4 linked regions of the Arabidopsis thaliana genome follow. The protein of the gene in region 3 interacts with the protein of the main gene of each other region in a biochemical or structural test. Each region holds a gene or a part of one and is shown on either strand. Other genes may lie near its edges. The genes, in order: PTAC12, JAR1, PHYA and PIL6.

Evidence for each region.
Region 1: the proteins of PHYA (region 3) and PTAC12 form a complex in vitro, tested with the Arabidopsis thaliana proteins (one study listed by BioGRID).
Region 2: the proteins of PHYA (region 3) and JAR1 form a complex in vitro, tested with the Arabidopsis thaliana proteins (one study listed by BioGRID).
Region 4: of the proteins of PHYA (region 3) and PIL6, one has a biochemical effect on the other in vitro, tested with the Arabidopsis thaliana proteins (one study listed by BioGRID).

The regions. Positions count from the first base shown.
Region 1 is NC_003071.7:14,581,331-14,586,339, forward strand, and holds PTAC12 (plastid transcriptionally active 12), read right to left. Parts: upstream 3,468-5,009; 5' UTR 3,215-3,467; intron 3,037-3,214; 5' UTR 3,016-3,036; coding exon 2,932-3,015; intron 2,815-2,931; coding exon 2,134-2,814; intron 2,044-2,133; coding exon 1,931-2,043; intron 1,857-1,930; coding exon 1,597-1,856; intron 1,515-1,596; coding exon 1,393-1,514; intron 1,317-1,392; coding exon 1,248-1,316; intron 1,154-1,247; coding exon 1,100-1,153; intron 1,010-1,099; coding exon 914-1,009; intron 836-913; coding exon 731-835; 3' UTR 505-730; downstream 1-504. Other genes in the region: GPS1 (geranyl diphosphate synthase 1), read left to right, coding at 1-47, 123-302. UniProt on the Arabidopsis thaliana protein: Involved in plastid gene expression. Acidic transcriptional coactivator necessary for the transactivation of many PIFs target genes (class B genes), particularly during the regulation of hypocotyl growth.
Region 2 is NC_003071.7:19,031,772-19,036,965, reverse strand, and holds JAR1 (Auxin-responsive GH3 family protein), read right to left. Parts: upstream 3,226-5,194; 5' UTR 2,734-3,225; coding exon 2,702-2,733; intron 2,626-2,701; coding exon 2,326-2,625; intron 2,259-2,325; coding exon 2,157-2,258; intron 2,011-2,156; coding exon 1,223-2,010; intron 1,136-1,222; coding exon 597-1,135; 3' UTR 521-596; downstream 1-520. UniProt on the Arabidopsis thaliana protein: Catalyzes the synthesis of jasmonates-amino acid conjugates by adenylation; can use Ile and, in vitro at least, Val, Leu and Phe as conjugating amino acids on jasmonic acid (JA) and 9,10-dihydro-JA substrates, and to a lower extent, on 3-oxo-2-(2Z-pentenyl)-cyclopentane-1-butyric acid (OPC-4) and 12-hydroxy-JA (12-OH-JA).
Region 3 is NC_003070.9:3,094,680-3,101,834, forward strand, and holds PHYA (phytochrome A), read right to left. Parts: upstream 5,152-7,155; 5' UTR 4,749-5,151; coding exon 4,744-4,748; intron 4,545-4,743; coding exon 2,479-4,544; intron 2,281-2,478; coding exon 1,464-2,280; intron 1,394-1,463; coding exon 1,103-1,393; intron 1,021-1,102; coding exon 819-1,020; 3' UTR 524-818; downstream 1-523. UniProt on the Arabidopsis thaliana protein: Regulatory photoreceptor which exists in two forms that are reversibly interconvertible by light: the Pr form that absorbs maximally in the red region of the spectrum and the Pfr form that absorbs maximally in the far-red region.
Region 4 is NC_003074.8:21,827,366-21,832,716, forward strand, and holds PIL6 (phytochrome interacting factor 3-like 6), read right to left. Parts: upstream 3,473-5,351; 5' UTR 2,817-3,472; exon of another isoform or gene 2,538-2,816; 5' UTR 2,531-2,537; coding exon 2,460-2,530; intron 2,339-2,459; coding exon 1,612-2,338; intron 1,531-1,611; coding exon 1,465-1,530; intron 1,372-1,464; coding exon 1,021-1,371; intron 944-1,020; coding exon 824-943; 3' UTR 540-823; downstream 1-539. Other genes in the region: AT3G59070 (Cytochrome b561/ferric reductase transmembrane with DOMON related domain-containing protein), read right to left, coding at 4,999-5,193. UniProt on the Arabidopsis thaliana protein: Transcription factor acting negatively in the phytochrome B signaling pathway to promote the shade-avoidance response. Regulates PHYB abundance at the post-transcriptional level, possibly via the ubiquitin-proteasome pathway.

The sequences.
Region 1 (5,009 bases), on a different chromosome or scaffold from region 3:
GCGAAGTTGTTGATCAAGTTGAAAAAGATCCTAGGAATGTTGACATTGTAAGTTTGAAAGAAACAAATCTCCTAAAATCTATAATATGTTTTCATAGTCTCTAATACTATTATATCACACAGGCTTTAGAGTATCTTGGGAAGAGCAAGGGAATACAGAGGGCAAGAGAATTAGCCATGGAACATGCGAATCTAGCAGCAGCTGCAATCGGGTCTCTACCTGAAACAGACAATGAAGATGTCAAAAGATCGAGGCGGGCACTTATTGACTTGACCCATAGAGTCATCACCAGAAACAAGTGAGATTAAGTAATGTTTCTCTCTATACACCAAAACATTCCTCATTTCATTTGTAGGATTTTGTTGGTCCAATTCGTTTCACGAAACAATAATGTTTGACAAGCTGTGGCTTTGGTTTTAAACTACACATGACAAAAAAAGGAGACAGATACTAATTGTGAAATCATATTCCTTGCGAATTCGGTTTAGGTCTTGTTTTAACAGATTAAACCGTCTCAAGCTGAACTAAACAGGATGCAGTACAGTTAACAAATCACTTTCAAAACTCTATAAATTCAATCAAAAATATTTGAATTCCATATGATACAAATCACTTGCAAAACTCAAATCCACTCCTAAATGATATCATCCCTTCCAAGTATACAAGCAAAACCAGTGAAGAAAAAGTTGCCCTAAATAACGTCTTTACATAAGAAATACGAAAACCAGGTTTAAGGATCAGTCTCCTCTTCAAAGTCCATGAGAAAATCAGTTAAGTTCTCAGCATCATCCACGGCCTCGTCTAGAGACATCCGACCTTCCTTCTTTGGTTTAGGCTGTTTAAGAAACCAAGCTCATAACATCAACACACCACACAAGACATATAATGTGGCTCAAGTTGAATGTGACTTTACCTTGGCGGTGCGAAGCTCAGGGGTTTCCTTCAAGACACTCCAGTTCCTCGGCACTTTCTCGTCGTCTTTTTCTACATCTGCATCGTCTTCGTCGTCCTGTCAAAAAATGTCCGGAGATGTTTCAGAGCATGATACATCAAGAAACAATAAAGAAGAAGAGGATCTGATGTAATCGATGATACTCACATCGTTTTCACCAATATCAACAGCTTGTGCCATTGCATCATCCATGTCAGGTACCTGCATTCATACAATTTATCGAACATATCAAGCGAAACCCTGAAATCTCACAATCAGAGTTGTGTCAAAGGAAATGAAAGATTGGTCACTTTACCTCGAGCTGCTCGGTTTTCTCTTTTGTCAGTAGTGCTTCATGCATCTCTCTTGAGATGACTTTGCCATTCTGATCAAATCAGAAACAAAGAAAACAATCAGACCAAGAAAGAAAAAGAATAGAACTTTGAGCAAAGCAGACTAACCTCCTTTAGATAAGAGAGCATATTTGGTGTAGGCTCATGAAAATCAGGTCCTCTGAAATCCATAACCGCATTAGGATCTTGAATGTAGTTAATTGTCGGGTAAACTGGATCCCCGCCCCAAACTGCAAGAAACCGAGAATGTTAGTCGAACGATTGAATATCCATGATGAGTTAGTTCAAACTTCAACGGTCAAAGTTTCTTACTTTGCTTAATTTGATCCTCCCTCATCCGCATTGCCAATGGATCTCTCTTGATCCTAATATCAGTTCCCATCATTATCCGGTATTCTCTATCTGTTTGATGAGAGAACATCTCAATCAGTTGTGTGTTTTCATCTTCACCTGTCTCTTCAAAATGTTTTTGTACAGCTTCTCTTGACGTGTCTCTCTTCCATGCTTTAACCCATTCAGAATAAAAAGCCATTGGACCTTCTTTCGCTAATCTCTCTCGCTCAGCTTGCAGCCTGAGAGAAAGAAAACTCGAAAGAAAATCCTAATAAAACAGATTTTCACTTGAAAGTTCGTTAGATCAATATACCTCTCTTCCTTGAAAAGATGCCTTCTTGCTCTATAAAGAGAAGTTTCTGTGAGTGTTGGTTCTTCCCCATAGAGCTTCACTTGTCCTGTTTCTGCCATTGCCTTGAGGAAAACCTGCATCAACAACAAAAAAAAATACCATAATGGATCAAACATTGGGGAAACACACACATGTTTAAACCTGAAATCATTGTGATGACTAACCGTTTCAACATCAGGACGTCTTCTTTGCCATCTTGACCATTGTTCTTTCTCCGGTTTCCTCCAGTTCCACCACGATTCATCGCTCGTGAGTGTCTTTTCAATTTGTTTCTTTTTCGTAGGATCAATGAAAGGATGTGGCCTTCCAAGCTTTTTGTCTAATTCAAAACCAGTCTCCTCTTCTTCTCTCTCAAATTCATTCTTATAGGTAACAAACCCATCCGAGGAATCATTTTCCTCTTCTTCAGAGCTATCCTCAGAATCGGATACTTCGTCATTCGTTTCAACAGTCACATTCTCCTCAGTAGCTTTCCTATTCTTCTTTCTCCTACTTCCAGGATTCTTTCCATAGGAAGGAAAACTCGAAGACTCACCAGCTGGTTGAGGAGCTCTAGCAGCTCTAACCCGGCTCGAAGTTCCTTCAGGCCAATAATCCTCACCTGGAATACTAGCCCGAGCCCCGGACGCTGGCTCAAGCTTCCCAGAAGTTGAATCCATATAACTATGGTAAGGATGCCTCTCAACAGTCACATACTCAAATCCTTCTTCACTCTTCTTAGACCCTTCACTTACATCACCATCTCCATCCTCTTTCTTGCATTTGATACAATGTCGCAAAGACCGATCCCTAGAAGTAATCCCAGCATGCAATGTCTTGAGTGGAAACCCACATTTAACCCGTCTCTACATACATAAACAAACTTTTACCAGTTTGACATCTTGAAACAAGCTAAAATGTTCACTATCTCTAAATTAGATAAGTTTGGATCAGAACAAGAAACTTGATGTGTAAGAACCAACCTGCACAATACAATTACTGGACTTTCCACTGTCTGTGCATACTTGACCTCGGTAGAGCCAGGTGGTGGTTGATATTGACGCCATTTACACTCTTTCTACTTCTCACTGTATCATTTACAAAAACAACCGATTCAATTATGCTCAGAATCAGTTTCAAACTAGTACAAAACATAAAACCCAGATAAGAAGAACCTGATACAACAAATTGTCCATAACAAGGTACGATTTTTTTGGGCATTTTTACAAACGCTTCACACTCGAAGTTGAGGAGAAAAAGACTAACCTTTTTGTTTTACCAGGAGATTATGTAGGAAGAGGGTTTTCTATCATGGAGCTTGATTTTGAAGGGGGTTTTGGCTTCAAAAGGTTTTCACTTGTCAGTTTTTGGGTTTATCCATTTATCTCCTCCTGCGTTTATTAACATATTCTGGTGACGGCAAAATCTCTAGATTTCACGACGCGCCGGTATTAGAACGGGAATTTGTGAAGAGAAAGTATATGGGCTTGGTATATCTAACTAAGGCCCAGTATTAATGGATCTTTGAGAAATTGTGAGCTTGAAGTCTCTCTTGGGCTTTAACAAACACTTCCAAGAAGAACAAAACATCTTTTTCTTTTTTGGCAAAACATCTTCTAAACAGTTTATTATATTGATATACTTTCAAATAAAATCAATATGTGATTTGATCATTTAAAACATGCCTTAACACAAAAGATATATGGAAGAATGTTTATCGAAGTATGCATGTGAACACATCTTAGTTTTGTTAATAGATTTGCAATTTACAATTGCGATTATACAATTTTTAGATAGTTCTCTCCGTAATGGATTAATATAGTGGACTAGAGGAACATGTTACACAAAAAACATCAATCATTGTACCTTTAAGTGAATAAATACTTGTATATGATTTGTACTTCAGCGTGTGTACGTACTTGTCTAAGACACTATAGAAGGAAGAAGGTTTGGACCCAACGTGAATGGCAATTGGCTAATGTGCTAATATGGTCTGAACCAATATTAAATGGGTCTGACCAGACACATCATAGACATTACGGTATCTATCACAGGCCTATTTTAACCTAATATCCTACACTTTTTATACATTAATACTACTATTGCTTACTTCAAACTTGCTAAACGACGATAATATTTATTTCTAGGGACCAAACATATAATTGTTTTTTTGGTTTTCTGAAATTTGGCAGACGTAGACCACGTAAGACTATACCACAAAGGTCTGACTAGGCACAAGTTTCGCTGACCCGCACGCGCCTAACGTCACCTTTTGAACTATTCGTGCAACGAGCGAGACTATCCATGCGGCGTCGTTTTTTCCCAACTTCCTCTTCCTCTCGTATTGTCAAACGGTCAAACCTATACTCCTACATAAGAAAAAAAGAATCAGCAGCATATAATAGCAACATTTGAAACTTCATAAGCATATATAAAGCTAGAGATGCAAACTAAAGACAAACAATATAGCAGTTTCGAATTATATAATAGATACAATAAATAAAAAAATAAAAAAAGAATAACAACCTTTTATCAAAAATAATACTGTAATAATAATAATTTGGATACTATTACTATCTTTTCGAGTTTGCTATTTTACATAAAACAATATGTCAGGGAAAAGAATCTCAAAGCACTAAAAAAAACTGTAATTTGATGCTTTTGGTGACCGTTAATAAATGAGTGGCTAATTGGAAATCTCGTCAAACTTTTTCTGCGACATAATTCACTTCCACAAGTAATTGGAACAGAATCTCACAAGTGGCGACGTGTACTTACCTCCACATGGCACCTATCCGTTCGCTAAAAATATACTCCATGTATAGATGTGTGTAATATTACATGTGTATAAAAGCGACGACGAGGATAATCACCTCGATGAGTATTTGAGTAGATGTGGACTTGTCATGAACATTTTAGCAGAGAGACAATGCATGCATACAAACAGAGAACTAACAAATTTCTTTAGTTTTTTACCATTCGTAACTTAAAAAGTTTATTCTTTATTTACTTGTAATACACTTTTGTTAAATGTTACATAGAATAATCTCCGATTTATACA
Region 2 (5,194 bases), on a different chromosome or scaffold from region 3:
ATGTAGATCTATGATTACTTTTTCGTAATTAGAACTCTCTAAATAAACATCGGTCGCACTAATAATGTCGTAGTCACGTATAGCTTCTCACACAAAATCACACCACTATCTATATTTAGAGAGTTTTTTTTTTGTTTTGGCAAAGTATTTAGAGAGTTTATGATCTCTAAATTTTTAATTGTTTATGATCTCTTCTTGTTTTTGAGAGAAGCACCAAAATTCAATTGTCGAACACGTACATTATTGTTTCGAATATCGTAATATAAAACAATATTTTCACAATATGGTTCAGGTCAGATCGAGATAGATTAGATTATCCGAATTTTATTCTCCATACAGACAATCAATTATTCGAATCTTGATTTTTTTGTTCCAAGTATAATAAAGGTAACGTCACATCAGAAATCTATTTATTTCCCAAACACTAATTGCACAAAAAGCAAAGTAAAACCACTGTGATACAAATTCTATAAAGATAAAAAAAGTTTATGCTCAATTAAATAACGTAAAGAAAACTATATTGACAAATAAAGACAACAACGACGGAAATAAACAACTAAAAACCACTTTCTTTGATTTCACACAATTTTAGTGAGTCAAAACGCTGTGCTGAAGTAGCTACTCACCACATTCTCACACAGAATTTGGAGAACCTTAGCATTACTTGGCTTCACACATCTTGGCATCTTAAACTGTCCAGCCGATGAACCAAGCCCGAGAAAATGTTCTTGAATCTTCCGGAAAGTTCCTTTTGCGACAACTCTCAGCTCCAAGGCTCCAATAGTCTTGCATTTCCGGGAACTAACGTAACCCGCATCGATGAATGCTCGGTCTAAACAGTTGCAGCAATCTTGAAGAACGTCTTCGTTTGTTTCTCCTGAAATCTCCCAGAAGATAGCGTAATGTCCTGGATCTGTCGAGACATCGATGTAGCTAGAGAAGTCTATGACCTCGATCTTTTCTTCTGAGAGTCTCTTTGCAGCCGATTCTACTGAAAGCTGAAGGTCTCTTTCGGTGTTCTTGTCGATGTTGATCGAGAGAATCAGGTTTCTCCTGCATATGAATTTTAGTTGGGGAGTGTTGTTGTAGAAACCAATGACCTTTACCACATCTCCAAGCCGGTATCGATACAACCCTGTGCAATGTGGATCAAATGAGAATTATAAGCATCCATTACGAGACCGATACTACGCTAATTCCAGCCTTAAAACAACGGTAATACCTGCGTAATTTGTGATGACAACTTCATACTCTTCTCCAATCTTGACTTGAGTTAAACCAACCGGTTTCTCCTCTCCTTCCCCTGTTTCAGATACAGGGAGAAACTCGAAATAACCGAGATTCGGAATCACAGCAAATGTAGCTTCCTCTGGAGATAACCTTGGGGTAACATTAGCAGCAATCCATCCTTCCGAGCTACCGTAGTCATGGCTCACAAGAGGTAGATCACCCGCGTAATGTCTCAGCTTTGGCACATACGGCTCCATGGAGCCAGTCATGATCCCGTAAACATACTTTGCGTTGGGGAAGAGCGCGGGAATCAATCCGTACCAGTTGCTCAAACTCATACATTTGGTGCGGATCGTCTCAGCTAGCTCAGGGTTAGGTGTGAGCAGCTTCGACATTGCAGTACGGACCGATGGGACAGTAATACGGTTGCTTAAGACACCATCTTTGATATCGGTAACAATCTCTTCCCAAACCTGTTCAAAGGTTCTAAAAGCGTGAACTAGACCGTGAGCAAAGACGGCAAAGACGTATTGAACTTGATCTCTGAAGAGAATTCCGGATAAGAGATGGCAATACAAGGCTTGATGGACATCAGGACTAAAGATAACTTCGTCGGGACTACAGGAAGGAGACGTTATAGATTTCATCCCAGCTTTGAAGTTAGGGTTGCGGTACACGTTTGTGGTTGCGGTTCCAACCGGGACACCTCCCGTTGATATGTACTGCTTGCTGCTGAAGATAAATTGCAAAGCTTTGCCATTGTCATCAATGGGAAAATCTCTGTACAAGAAGAAAAACATCACATGTTAAGGCATAGTCGGTGGTAAGTAACAACATCACTAGTTTCTCTGTTCATGTCAATGGATGGAACAGAGAAAAGTGTGAAATGTGTGTGGGGGAAACATAAACACAAATTTAAACTATACCTGTTTCTGAAGGCAAAAGCAGTGCGAAACAGTTGCAATGTGTTCTCCATTAATTCATCAGTGAAAGGAATAAACTTTGGACGGCCTTGACTAGTTCCAGAGCTGATGATCAAAAACACACACACTGAGAAACAGAATCATCAATGATAAAGCAAAAAGAGGAAGTTACCTTAAGGAAATGGCAGGAACAGGGTGACCAGTGAGAATAGGTGAAGTGTCACCATCAACCATTCTTTTGATGTAAGGCTCTAATTCAACATCAGTGACTAAAGGAACCATAGATTTGAAAGCTTCTTCAGGGTCAGTAGCGTTTCCATTGAGACCACAGTTTTGTAAGTAAATGGCGGATTGGTTCTTGAGAAGAATCTCTTTCAAAGTTTGTTTCTGGACTTGATGAGCGTTTCTAGTCATTTCATCGAATTCATCAATGACTCTGTTCATGTCGAAAGTTTCAACCTTCTCCAACATCCTGAAGTAGATAAAAAGAAAAGAGTGATCAGATTCTGACAGATTTGAAAACAGAGAATATAAGGGAAGGTATAAACTTAAAAGCTCTTTTATGTTTCAGAGCATCCATAAAGGGAAAGTTTTTAAAAATTCTTATCAGAGAGATCTTTTTGCAGATTTTTTTTTTTATAAAAAAAAGTTGTGAAAACGGTTTTCGAGAATCGAAAATTAAGGAAGGATGGATCAAGAAATCGAAGGGTTTTGAGAGGAACCCAATAGTTGTGGAGAGGTAACAATCAGACCCAAATCGGAATCTATGAGATTGAACAAGTAAAGATGAGAACTTTTTTGGAATCTATCTGAAGAAAAAGTCAACGAGGTCGGAACCGGAGTAATTGGAAGTGTGTTTTACCCGATCAGACGAAACGGATTACTGAGAGATATGAAAATGATCAGCTTTAGTATCTAGATTAAGGAGTGAGAAAGAGAGAGTACCTGCGCTAGTTGCTGCGAGCTCTGTAGAGGATAGAGAGAGAGAGAGAAAAAAGGAGTGAGAGAAAGTTGAGTGAATTTGGAAAGTCAAGAGAAAGAAGCTGTCTTATTTTATAGACACAAAAATTGGACGGAGCAGCAAAAATGTAGAAGGCGAAAGATTAGTGGAAGCCGTTACTTGTATCTCTCTATCTTCTCTTTTTCTTTCTCCGACGGGATCTCTGATTTTTTCTTTTATTTTCTTCTTTTTGTATTCTTAGTTTATTTTTTCATCTTCACATGAGTGTTTGGGTCCAATCTGTAAAAGAGTGTAATATCTTCTTGGAATTAGGACCATTCTTAGATAATGCCCATTTTTACTTGGTTCCTCTCTGCCAAAACTTTAGTTTATTTAAAAGGACCAATCCAAAACAATCGCATGTGGATTACTTTTTTTTTTAACCATGTTTTAGTGTTTTAAAATATTCATTATGATCGATGCATAAAACAATACCGTAAGTTTAGTTTACGAAAAGCCAACTTGTGTTAGGAATATTATTTCTTTAATTCTTGAGTAATTTGGGTTCATGATATTAGTAGTAGATATACATATAGACAACATCATTTTTTGTTAACTAAGAATTTTCATGCGGCTAGTCTTCTAGTTTATTCAGACGAGGATCATAACATGTTAACTTAGTCACCTCTCTGTCATCGTTGTCTATATCATTATATATGGTCATTGCGTTAATGATGTAATACTAGGAAATACATCAGAAATCAACTATTCATCTCTAACAAAAGACCTATATATAATTCTAAGACTACAATCACTTAAATTTAACAAAATACGTTGTTTTTATACCACCTGTTATGATTTAATTTATAATGACCTGCGTTTGATTAATTCAAACTTGCTAAAGAAATAATATTTGATAGCTTCTTATATTTGGCTGTGTAGTTTGTAACAAAATTTGGAACAAACATATTTGTATATATCAAATATATATACAAATATGAGATATCACAATATATGGTTAACAATTCTTCATATCAGTTGCTTGCACATCTTTACATTAGTCATTTAAACGATTCTCAAAGTCTGTGAGGTTCATAAGATTTTTGGAATTAGGTTCATAAGATTTTTGGTTAACAATTCTGTTTCATCCATCTTCTCGTGCACAAAACAAATTAAGTTCAACAATCCCTTTTCTATTGCAGGGTTTAGGGTTTCGTTTCGGAAACGCATATTAGTCATCACAACTAACTTTTTTGTTTACAAGAATAAACTCTCATTTTAATGAAGCTGATCAACATAAGTTAAGTTACAAAAACATACGATTAATCTAATGATCTGATTGTATAAAAAAACAAAACATAGTTGATTTCCTTGAAGAAGAAAAAAAAACTATGTAAGAAACATTTGATTTTTATTGATGATTCTTGTTTTTCATTATATAGTTTCTTCAATTCATACATTTTCATTCGTCAATTTCATGCCTACTTTATATCGAGAAAATCATGAACTGATTGAAATCTGTGGAAAAGCTCCTTTTAGAGAAGTTAACATTTTCAATTTTTTTTGTTGACTGAAGAAGCTATAAATTGTATACATGCATGACAAGTCAACATAAATCACATATTCCTCCATGCTCATCATAAATGTTTTGAGCTTAAGAAACAATGGTACCATGACACATGCATACACAATTTTATTATTGACTGCTGATATTATTATTTTTGGCCTAATTAATTATTTTGATGTCATCCATTTTGGTTATCGTTTATACTAGCTAGTTGTAAAATAACTAAGAAAAACGATTGTGTGTGGAAATTAATTTAATATTCTAACTTTAATTTCGGACTAAAAAAAACTTAAATTTAACTAATTTGACACGTGGATGAGTCTAATTGGATTAGTATAAAAGATCCTCTGGATCCGCATGTACTGTGACCCAAGTGAGTTTCGTGCTTACACGTGGCAGTGCCGTCCAATTCAATTACGTCTCGGCTCTAAATAATTTGTCGGTCACATCCTTTACGTTTTCCTTATTTTCGCCCCCAAATGTTTCATTAAATTACGAAAGTTGCCTGATTTTTTTGAGTGGGTTCCACTACAC
Region 3 (7,155 bases):
TTTTCTAAAGGGAAGATCTTTTTATCTTCTTTGATTTGTCTTCTGTAATAAAAAAGGAACAATAACTGATGATCTTCAGTGTGCATTTGAGCTCCATAGTCTCATGTATTCGTCTTCTTGTATAATCCATATTATTTTTTGTTCAAAGTTGACTAAAGACAGGTAAGAAGTCGAGGTTGATCTAATCTAAAAGCTTTCAAAACAGGTAAGCTAATTTATCTGACTTTTCAGATAAAATAATCAACTTGAGAGACTCTTAACGTATGGGTCTAATAAAACTGATTACTTAATTAACATGATAACTTATTTTTTACTTCACACACCATGTGCTTCTTCTAACAGAAAACTAAGTGTACTTCATATGGCCAGCTAATAGATCTCTGTTAAGTTCGAAGAACTATGTTTGCTTCTTCATGGAGTTGAGCCAAAGCTAATTGTTTGAAACCAAGACTTCTTGCAACATAGTCACGAATCATGCATTACCTCTAATACCTTAAAAGAAGGAGATTATATGAAACTAGATAGAATATTTGTTTGAGTTTCTGCCATTATGATAAACCATGGACCGTAAACATTAGCTCATTTCTCCTATATTACTTATTTTGAATGATACATCATGAAACCAAAACACTCAGGAGGAGATTAGATATGCATCCATATTTACAGCTTCAGAAAAGAGTTCAACAGAAGATGTAAATGGATGGATATTTCATCGTTACTGAAATTTGAAAACGAAAACAAAAGCGATAAGGAAAGTTACAAGCAAAGAACAACCAGTGACTATTTTATATCAAGCCAGACCCCTTTTCTTTTGGGGACTACTTGTTTGCTGCAGCGAGTTCCGCAGTGATAATGAAACTTGATTTCCCAGCTTGTCTCAAGTACTGAACATCTCCATTCATCAGCTTCACCAGTTTCCGGCTAACCATTAAGCTCAATCCTTCTTCTGACACATCTTCCTCAGTCCCAAACATTTGGTTTAGTAAAAACTCAGGTATCCCAGCTCCGGTATGCGTTAACCTGTTTTCATAATCCCAATATCCTCAATGCACTGTTTTTAACATCATATTATGCATTCTGATTATGAATATATCTATTTTACCTGATCTCTAGATTAGCAAGATGCACAGAACGCCCGAGCTGATCCTTCCTCAGGGAAGCTGAAACAGTTAGCTGACCTCCGGATGGTGTAAAGTTTACAGCCATCAGCATGAAATCTGCCAAGACTTGTTGAAGCCTAATACTGTCTCCATACAAAGTGTCAGACATTACTTCTTCTCCGGTCTCATTTGTTATCCGAACACTCTTTCCGTTACTCTTCATCATTACTTGACTTGTGGAAGCAGTCAACACTTCATTTAAGGTGAATTCTTTCATTTCCAAATCCAAGCATCTGCACAGTCAAATTCCAACATAAGAACACAGATAAACCATATTTTAAATGGACTTTCATTCTAGCATACCCTTCAATGATGCTTTCAAGATCCGAATCATCGAGGATCTTGCTTAGTTGCTTCTGACATAACGCGCTAGTTTGCAAAATCCGTCTTTGCTCTGGTCCTAATTCAGTACCCTCTATCATTTTCCTTGTAAACATGATCCCAGATAGCGGATTCCTGATCTGTCTTTTTATGTATGCTAGAGCCTTTAGTCTCTTCACTGCGGTTCGCTCAGCTAAACGTTGAACATGGAGCGCTTGCTGCAGCTCATGGCTGGCAAGTTGCAGGAAACAGAAGACACCTGTCACTACACCTTCCCTGTCCAGTTTCTTACTCACACACAACAGACACTCCACATACTTGCCACCTCTTGTAAAGAAAGCAAACGATACTTTCTCTGGATCTTGACTGGTCACAGCATTGTTCAGCACAATCCCAAGGTTTACAAAGGCTTCTTGATTCTTTAGACGACAACATGACTTCTGCGTCCCAAATACTTCTCCTAAGAGCATTTTGTCAATCACTTCCTCTCGCTTCAAACCGGTTAACTTTGACATTGCTGGATTCCACTCTGTGCACCATCCAAACTCATCGGTACCAAATATTGGCGGGATCAGCGGGTTTGGATTTTGGATGATTGCCTTGTAATCACCTTCAATCCGCGTAAACTTGTCCATCACAGTCTTCTGGCCAGTAAGATCATGGGCTACAAAACACACCCCAACCACGTTTTCATGGAGATCTCTACTTGCGCATGCATTTACAACTAAACTTATTGGCCCAGCATCAGCCCTGGACAGATGTGTCTTGATCTCAAACTGGACATTCTGCTCCTCAGTTCCTGCATAGATAAGCAAGTGAAGTTATAGACTCGGCTTCAGTGTTTGATAAAATTGGAAAACAAAATTCCATCATTAAGAACCAAAAACAACACATTGCATCAAGTTTCTTCGACCACGATACTCAATTGGAACTTGAATAGTGAAATCTAGTTGGAAGATTCTTAGCAAACTCAGCATAACTTAGGAAGAGAGTTTACCTTCTAATGCGTTCTCTAGCATCCTTTTAACGATTTCCACTGAAGAATCTTCAACAAGTGTGAGGAAATGCTTCCCGATTGCTTCATCAACCGAAAGACCAGTCAGCTCAGCAATTTTCGTGTTCCAACCATTAACCAGTCCATCAGAATCAACCGCCAATATTGGCACCGTAGCAGTCTCAATTAAACGAACCATCTCACTGGTCACAGCTTCTAGTTCTTGTATACCATCAATTTTGAGATCATTTAGCTTCGAGTAAATGACCTTTGTATTCACATCAGTAGTTTCACTATCCTTGAAAGCATTCCTCAAAATAAGTTGCAAGGAGTGTATGGCATCCATCTCATAGTCCTTCCAAGGTAAACTCCTTGTCTTGACCACTTCAAGGAAAGCCTTGAACGATGACCTTGGGTGCATTCTCCTTGCATCATCCCTATCATCTGGATCATGCTTCGCACCTCCCCATCTCACTTCACCAGCGGTATGAGAACGGAACCAGAAAATCATGTCTTTCGATGATATCCTCACAGCTGCCATCCCACATACCGAATCCCCGAGAGATAGAGCCCTAGGAAACCCGGCGTCATGCAAACTATCAGTGCTCAAACCCGTTGAATCCATGTGGTATTCACACAACCATGAAGCTATCTCCTGCAGGTGGAACTCACTTGGAGTTGTTCCCAGTTTCCATATCTTGTCTTTATACAAGAGAGCTGCTCCATCACATTTCACAAGGTCCATTATGTTGGGGCTTTGCGACACAATACCCAGTGGAGCATCACGCATCAGCATATCGCACAAGAGTGTCTGCGTGCGCAAAATGTTCTTCTCCACCATCTGGTTATCGAGTTCCACCTCCTTATTGACGTGTATGGCAAACACTTGAGCTAGAAACTCACAGGCATACCTGAGAGGAAATGGAACAAACCTCGGAGTCGTATTGTGACAAACCACTAAACCCCATAGTCTCTTTCTCTTTTGAGGCTGTGTAGTAGCATCAGGAGCATCCCCTTCTCCATCTTCCTCGTTAACTACAACCGCCATAACCAGAGATGCAATTGAATCCATGTTGGCCATGTACTGCAAATGGCAGCTGTGCGGTGCTCTAAGGGTGGAGCCACACAAGGTAAGGTCAAAGGAAAGCTTTTCATCTTGAAGCACCCTAGCATGTTTTGCATTGCAATCAACTATCATCCGGACCTTGTTCTTCATAAACAGAAAACGGGCTGCTTGAGGGATGTCGGTGGCAGGATAATGCAGCCCAAGATAAGGCTCCAGCCCAGGTTTTGTAACCTCGGAGACAACCTCACCGTGATCATCTTCATGAAACTTATAAGCCATCACCCTGTCATACCCCGTGAGTTCAAAAACCTCTTGAACCATTGTATCACAAAGCCTTTCCATACTCCCGCTGGGTAAAGATTGCAGCCTAGTGATTGCTTTGGCAGCGAGCTTGTATGATTGTAAGGCACCAGCAGCTGTCATGGGGACTTCATAAGGCTTCACGGGTTCAAAGTCGATGATGATGCTCCCTGTAACCCTGTGGATAATCGCATAAAAGGGCTTTGCAGAAGTCCTGCAGTGCACAAGAATGGGATTCAAAAGAGAGACATCTCCAAATCCAAGGGCTTTCTGCAATGCAGACGCACTAGGAGCAGTGAAAAGACTCCTTATATCTGTCCCAATGCCTAGAACAGGGTGTTCGCCAACACTAGGAACTGCATGACTGGCCATTGTCAACAGCTCAGATGCATTCTCGCTGTATGCAATAACTTTGAAGGTCTTCTCATCCAAGGCAAGTAAACAACCGAAGGGCTGAATCAGCTTTCCCTTCTGTATATGATGAAGATAAGTCGTGGTAACTTTGTCAGACCTTGGTGGCTGATTCTCCACAACCGGGCCAGTGACACGCACTGAGGTTGAGTAATCAAAGGAGCTGCCTGACTCCTCAAAATCAGCATGGAGTTTCGCATCTACAGTGGTCTGCGCAATGATCCTAGCGCTGTGCCTTGATCGCCTTGAGCCCTCAGAGGACTGAGTCGGCCTAGAGCCTGACATTTTTTTCCTGACACAGAGACAAGACAACAAAAAATAAGTGCAAAACTCTGATAAAAGAGGGAATAAAACATTCATGCCATAATCATATGAACACAAAAACATTCATCACCAGTCATACAAGCGAATGCATAAGCATAAACTTGAAACACTAAGAACCAATTCAGAATTTCAAACACACAGTAAAAAGAGTTATGAACTTGACTAACTCCATCGAGAATACATAGCTAAACCCAGAAACAGGACGCAACAGATGCAGGAATCATCGTGTCATATTCCAAGGTTCAATGATTTATCATTTTCAAAGTAACTGAACCAGTCAGATTCCATGAACACTTCCTTTCTAAGTCATCCTACAATCCAAAATCAACAACATCTTGACTATGAACAAGTCGCACAAATAATAGTTGATAGTTAACAGGGTAAATCCACTACACAAATACTAACAAAACGAGGATCTGAGCTAATATCAGCCTCTCAAGATTCAAACACAGCTACATACATAAAGTAGACTCAATAATAAACTCTTAAGAGTCTTTATAGCTAGCTATACCTTTCAAAAGGAACAATAAAGTCCCCACAGGGAAAGCAATCGTAGGAGTTAAAAGCGATAAAAGGATGAGATTAATTAATTGGATGCTTCTTCTCATAAATGATCACACACTATAAAAAGTTGAGTAAAACAAACACACATCAAGCCAGATCGAAAGAGACCTACAAAACCTTTATATCGCAGAAAACAAGAGGGTATTGATGACAACAGAGGATAGCTTTAAGAAATTAACTTCAAAGTTAGAATCAATTTCAGTAAGAAGAGTGAGACCAGTAGCTAGCTGGTAAGCTCCCAGCAGAAATCAATCGAAGCAAGCTTCAATATATATAGTTAAAAAAAGAAAAAAAAGGAGGAAACTTTGGGAAAAGGAAAGTAGGTACCTTTAAAGAGAAGAAAGAAGAAGAAGAAGTTTCAAGAAGCCATGATCAGATCTTGTGACTAGTCACACTCGTCAGAGGCTTTTTGTTATAGTTAAATTCTAAATCTTGGCCTCGATCACCACCTTCTCTCTTGTGCTACGCCTCTCTATTATTTGTGCTCCCTAACACAGACGACGACGATGAATGGGACCACCCCGAATACGTATGCCCATGTCTCGGAGTATGGGCGATTTGTATATTTTATAATGGAATAAAATAAAAGAAGAAAAAAGCTTAATTTGGATAAAAGACAAACTTCACACACATATCAAGAACAGGGTCGGCTTCGCCGGTAACATTTTCCTCGCTAAAACAGAACAGTGGGCTTAAGATATATCAAGTACTACTACTTGTAAATCTTGGCAACTTTCTGGGGAATATTAATTGATATTTTCACCGATGTGACTAAGACTGTGTAATGAGGAAAAAAGAAGTAAAGTGGAAGAAGAACAAAATGGGGTTGATTCTTATAAATCCGATTGAAGAGAATCGTCCAAAGGATAAGAGATCAAAAGTAAAAAAAAAAAAAAAGATTATTAATAAAATAAAAAAACGAGAAAGAGAGAGAGAAAGAAAGATGGTGGTAGTTGTTTAATGAAGGCAGTAACCAGAAGTAGAAAGTTGGGTTTTGAGGAAGACGACAACGATAGTCTTATGGGCTTCACGTTTTCTCGGCTTTTTGCGTTTTGTAATCTGTTTCTGGGATTTACTTCAAAGTTGGGACTTTCCTTTTTTGTATTTTTTTTTATCGTTGAAAGAAAGTAATAAAATTTGTAAAACTAATTTAAGTTTATTCGAAGAATTTAAATTTGTTTTATTTTTTATATAAAAAGGGTAAAAAAATCGTTATTAAGGTTTTATTTTTTTTTCGTCAAACAAAATCCATATCGTTTTAACATCATTGTCAAACTTCGATTCGTTCTTATCGCAAATCCACGTTACCATGTTTTCTTAGGTATTTTGCTTCTATCCTCTTAAAGTTAAATCTCCCCCTAAGTTTTTTGCAGTAAATCTCCGGAGAAGATCGAATCGACAACGTCTTATCTAGACAGCGCAATTCAGCATAGATATTGTGGCACAGCTATGTTGGACCAAAAATGTGCCTCCATAATGCAAATGTTGTCCTAGCAACACAGTATCATCCATTAGACATAGTCATGGCCCATGTTGCACATATCTGAATTGGCAAAAGGTACTAATCCCATTTCAGGAATAACACTTTGAAGAACAAAACAAATATGAGCTTAGGAGACTTCTTAATGGCCGGCCAAGAACGCTTCAATCACTAGGGATGTGATGGTTTGGAACTTTAAGGCGCCCTTTGAGAGCTATTTCATTTTCACTCTTTTGATATTGAACTCTCAAAACAACTGTTCATTACCATGTGTTTTCTCGGTTTTTAATGTGTGTATTTGTGTGAAACAAGGCCAATAATCTATATACGAAAATAAAGAAAATGGTTCTTTACACCAAAACTTCCGTATTAAAAAGAACATTTAAAATCTGTTATCGTCACTGTAATAAACAATGTCAATGGTTACTTATGTATAAGAAGTAGAAGAAGATGACGGAAAACAATCTTTGTCACTCTTTTGCAAGGACTGATCATCTTCTTCTTCAGTTTGATGAACCACCGGAGGACATGAAGA
Region 4 (5,351 bases), on a different chromosome or scaffold from region 3:
TTTTCTAAAAAAATTCATGCGATTTTCTCTTATCTGTTTCTTCCACAGAGATCAACGAAGATCAGATTCGAATGCGTAATTTGAAGCAAAACAATGAGAAACAAAATCAAAGAGCGATAGAAAGAGAGAGGCTCAGGAGTCGGGTCGCAGCTTTTTCTATTAATAATCGTGTTTGTTTTCAGAGTGCTGATTTGTAAGATGCTTATTGGTTGACTTAATTAATCACATTCTATACGTTTTTATTATTTTAGTAATTTTTTTCTGCTTCGCTTTAATCGGAAACCTACACGCTCGAGTATGTGATTAGGATAAACTCGCTCCTCTTGTAAGACACGTGTCACTTTAGAAGGACATAATCGGTAATTTGATTTCACCGTTAACTTGAGGAAACTAAAAATCGAGTAGGTATGGGACTCGCTAGTCGTTACGTACGAATCGTGGTGGAGTAAACCACGTTAGCGTTTTCCGTTTTTTGTATAACGTATGCGTTTTGAGCAGTAATATGGGTTAATGTTCATATTCATAGACCCAAAAAAGCCCATGATAATGTCAAATGCAGGCCTAGTCTATCCTTTTTATTTTGTTTTTCTGATGAACCTTGAGAACAAATATAAAAGTATTGACACATGTATGATCTTTAGGTTCCCAACACTTGATTGATACTATAATTCAACTGTTTAAAAATAAGTTATAAGTATGAGACTAACTTATTAGATCTCTATAATACATTTGACTTAGCTTTTATGCTTGCTTAGGCGACCAAAAATAAATAACAATCACCAACTGTAAGAAGAATAATTTCGGAGGAAAACTATATGCCAAGTCAGCCTATTTTACCCATATGAAGACTGTCGGTGGTCGCCGGTGCCGACAGTTGACTTTGCGGTCCCGCCGGAGATCCAAATCCCAACATGTCCGCTGGTTGTTGTTGCACGGTCTGCATCTAATTTAAAACATGACACGTCAGATATTAAATAAATATATTTGTCTTTCTTCAAAACGATGCCGTCTGCAACTGACCTGATTTCCCGCCGGCGGCATCTGGGGAATCCCGCCCATGTACCTAGCGAGCTGCTCCGATAAGATTTGGTTCTGTGCTTGGAGCTGCAACTGTACCGGGTTTTGACATACTAAACCGGGATGGTTCTGCGGAGCGGACCGGTTCATAACCGGGAATTGAGACAATTGCATCTGACTTTGCATAGCCATCTGATTAATGTATGGAGATGATTGTACCCCGGGAAACATCATCGGACTTGCTGCTGCTGCTGCCGCCGCCGCCATTCCACTTCCCATCCACATCACTTGGAGTTGCATTTGAAGTGATTTTAAGTAATCAATTGCTTCATCCAATATCGAAGCTTTATCTGTCTACACAAAAAAAGAAGAAGACAAAACCATATTTAAACACACCAATCAATTACAGCTTAATTAACTCAGTTTTTTTGTGATGAAAAAACTTACTCTGCTGCAGTGAGGTATGAGTTCTTGAAGAGCTTTCATTCTTTCATTGATCCGATCTCTCCTCCTCTGTAATTAATAGACAAAGATCACATCAGAATTATTATTACTGAATGGTTGATCAACTAGTCAGAAATAGTATATGTATACCCTTTCTGAGAGATTATGAACTTCAGCTGCACGGCTTCTTCGAGTAGATCCTGACCGTTGGCTCGATTTGTTACCCATGGTTTGATCATCGGTTGAGGTCAAACCTATATCTGATTGAGACACAGATTCTTGATCAGCATCCATAACATGTTTTCTTTTACGGTCAATGGTTACACTTGTTCCACTAACGGTTTCTTTGTTGTTCCTTCCATAGCTGCAACCGGAGGAGCCACCTGACGAAGTGTCAAGTCTTTCTTCGACGTTCTTGCTTCTATCACTCATAGAAACCGGAAGTGTAGTGGCCTGATGAATATTTGTTGACTGGTTGCTGCCGCAATGACTCGGTCCGACTGTTATAACCGAGGATCTAAACTTAGGAGGAGCCATGGCTTGAGCCTCATGCTTAACTGTCTCTTCGATCGTTCGTGGCTTCTCAGGACCTCCGAGGTGATCGATCGAAGAGAAGAAATGAGAGGAGAACTCGGATTCGAAAGGGTCGATGACGTCATCCGGAGGGTATTGTATCCAGGAGACGGTTTCTTGATCATCTAGAGCAGCGTAGTTAGGCTTTTGTACTGTTTCTTGGTTGTCAAGAAAAATATTGTTGGGTTTTCTTAGGGTTTCTTGTTTGTGGGTTTGGACTTGGACTGACGGTTCTCTACGAGCTTGGCTTTGTAAAACCACTTGACCATCTCTCCACAATAGCTCCACTAATTCATCTTCTGGTCTGTCCCAACATATGAATGTTTACAAACATATTTTAAACAAACAATACTTAAATAGCTATGATTAAGATGTGAAATTGGTATATAATTATGAAATACTTGAATTGGAAAATTGATATATACCTGATTGATCTTTTATTAGTGGACATGTGAAAATTATCTTCAAAATTCCAATCAGCAAACACTTGTTCCATGTCAGATCTGTAAAGACACTTAAATAAAGAATATATTACTTTTTTGTAAGTGAATAAGAAATGATTTGATTCATAATTAGTATAATGATTAACAGGAGATTTGAGGAAAAAGGATGATGAAAGCAATCAACTTAGAAAAGATTATTCGAAATCCCAACAGTTTAATGATTAGAAAATAATTAAACCAAACAACCCTCTCCAACAATCTAGGAGGAAATGATTTAATAAAGCAACTAATTCTATATATAGTAAACTCTTACTAAGGGGAAGCTATAAAAGTAATTACCAGATTTAGAAGCCTCTGAATGGATGGAAGATTTAGCTATATCAGTTTTTTTTTATTGCTTCACACGTAACAAAAATCGAGCAAGGAGGGACAAAAGAAGAACAAAAGATTCTATCTCCAAAACCTTCTCGGTTTTATCTCTCTTCTAGATAGGGAATTGTTCTGAAACTGAGGGAGTAAAGTTGAAACAGAACAGTAACACAGAGAGAGAGAGAGAGAAAGAAGAAAGAGAGGCTAAGGTTCTTCTTGCCAGGTTCAGACAGAAAGGGACAAGAGCTAGAGGAGGGAAGCAGAGAGATTATTACGGTAAGTAAGCGAGTGAGCGAGGGGGAGATAATGATTCGGTGGGGGCAATAGTACTGAAACTGATCAGGATGACCGACACGTGGCGAATTGTCAGACAACTAGTTAAAGAGTTAGTGAGACCCACCAACTCGGTTGGATTTTGTCTGTGAAGTTGAGAGAGATCTATTGCTCGATTTCTAGAGGTGGGTTTCTGATCTGTACCTTATCTGCAACACTCTTTGAGTCTTGACCAATGATTAAGGGTGTTTTTGTCAAATCATAACACCCCTCTTATGCTTCTCTTTCAGCGAATAGTATCTCTAATAATGGTAAACAAAAAACAAATTGAAGTTCTCTATTTTCTACGATGCTTCGATGAGTTTATATCATCATCTACTATATGAATATATGAACCGTTTTATAATCATCTGAATTCAATTTCATGTCAGAGTCTCATTAAAACCCGAGCGGAAATAATCTTGAGAAGTCATCATTTTTTCCCCCGGCAAATTTCCACATCGCATTTATTTCACGTGTTGACTAGTTAAAGCTACCATCGTAAGTTTTTGTGTTATTATCATTCTCTAAACAACTGCAAGTTTATACATATAACTTTTAGTTGATTGTGAATTTGGAATTTATTAATTATACACAAAATTTTGGATATTAATAACAGTTTTGAACCTAAATATGCAATCACAAATTCACAATGTCGTAATAAACCGTGGACCGTTGTGACTTGTTTGTCATGGACCACAGACAAACAATGGTCCACCAAAATTATGATCACATTAATTTCCGATCCTTATCACAATAATTTAACAGTAGATCAGTTTCTAACCCTTATCACATCAATCTTATCGTTTAATGTGCATAACCCCTACCGATCTAATGATAAACAAACATATTATTAGTATGATAAATTCATGAATATATTACATTGCAACTTACAAGTAGACAGACAGACATATATAGTGGGTGCATTTGTGAAGAAAGCATCCACCGAAAGGAGACATTTCCCTTTAAAAGTCTTTGGCCCTCATTTGCTTTTTCCACGAAAGAGACGAGGTCGTAATAGCGTCCATTCAAGGCTATAGAAGGCCATGAGCCAAGTAACTCAGTTTTTGTTTCCAGCCATAGAAATAGTAATTTAGTGCAAAATATGGAATTTAAATATGAGTAGTTTAGTGAAAATTGCTGAATAATAACACTTTTTCTTCCGTATGCAAGTTTTTTTTTTTTTTGATAAATTATTTTGTATGCAAGTTGCTATTTGCTAGTTGGATGAATTAAGTTGATAGATAGATTCGTTCGTCGTGGACGATACATGTAAAACGTTGTTATCCCAATCAAGCAAAGAGGAACACGGTTACACAGATGCCAGCCATAAATCATAAAACCCCAAAACCCTTCGATTGCTATTTTATTTTTCTTATAATTTTTGTTTGCATTTGACTCAAATGATGTCGTTGTATTTGAATTTATAACTCATGTCGACATATAAGTCGTCGCCTAGTTGGATAATTAATTCCATCATCTTCTAAACCGATATATGAATTAATTCTATGCATATACATTAGATTTCGACGAAGGAACGAATCTATCAATCATCATTGATTAAGGAACCATATACATACATTAAATATTTATGAATATGCATATTCATAGGATGAAGATAACATCACATTAAATAGAATGACATTAGCAAATTGAATTTATCAGAAAAGGCCCAAAAGTTTTAAGTCATGTCATATAACAGATATTGTACTGTGTTGTGGAGATGCGTTATTGGGCCTAAGATACGGCCCAGTTTAGTCCGAAAAATACAAATTTATCAGAGAAAAGGGCCGAACAAAACGTCAAAACCCTAACTCTATAAGAGACCGTTCTGAAACATTCAGGCGGCGGTGGCGGCGATGGAAGTAGACGGATGGTGGTAGGAATGAAAGGCTAGAAGCGGCGGAGAAGTATGTGGATAAGAAATAACAAAAACTGAGGGGATCATGAAGTTCTTCGTTATATTATAGTTTTCAATCTGAATTTCAATTCCGCCGCTCGCCTTTTTCCTCTCCGCCTTTTCCGTCTCTCCGATCTGCTCCCGCCGCCGACCTTGTGATGATTATAGCTCTGAAGGTCCATACAAGGATATTCAAATCTCACTTCTTGTAGAATAGAAATTTCGAAAGTTATTATTGAATAGAAGAACTTTTATTAGTCAAGATTGCAAAATATTTTTATATTCTTTGTGCA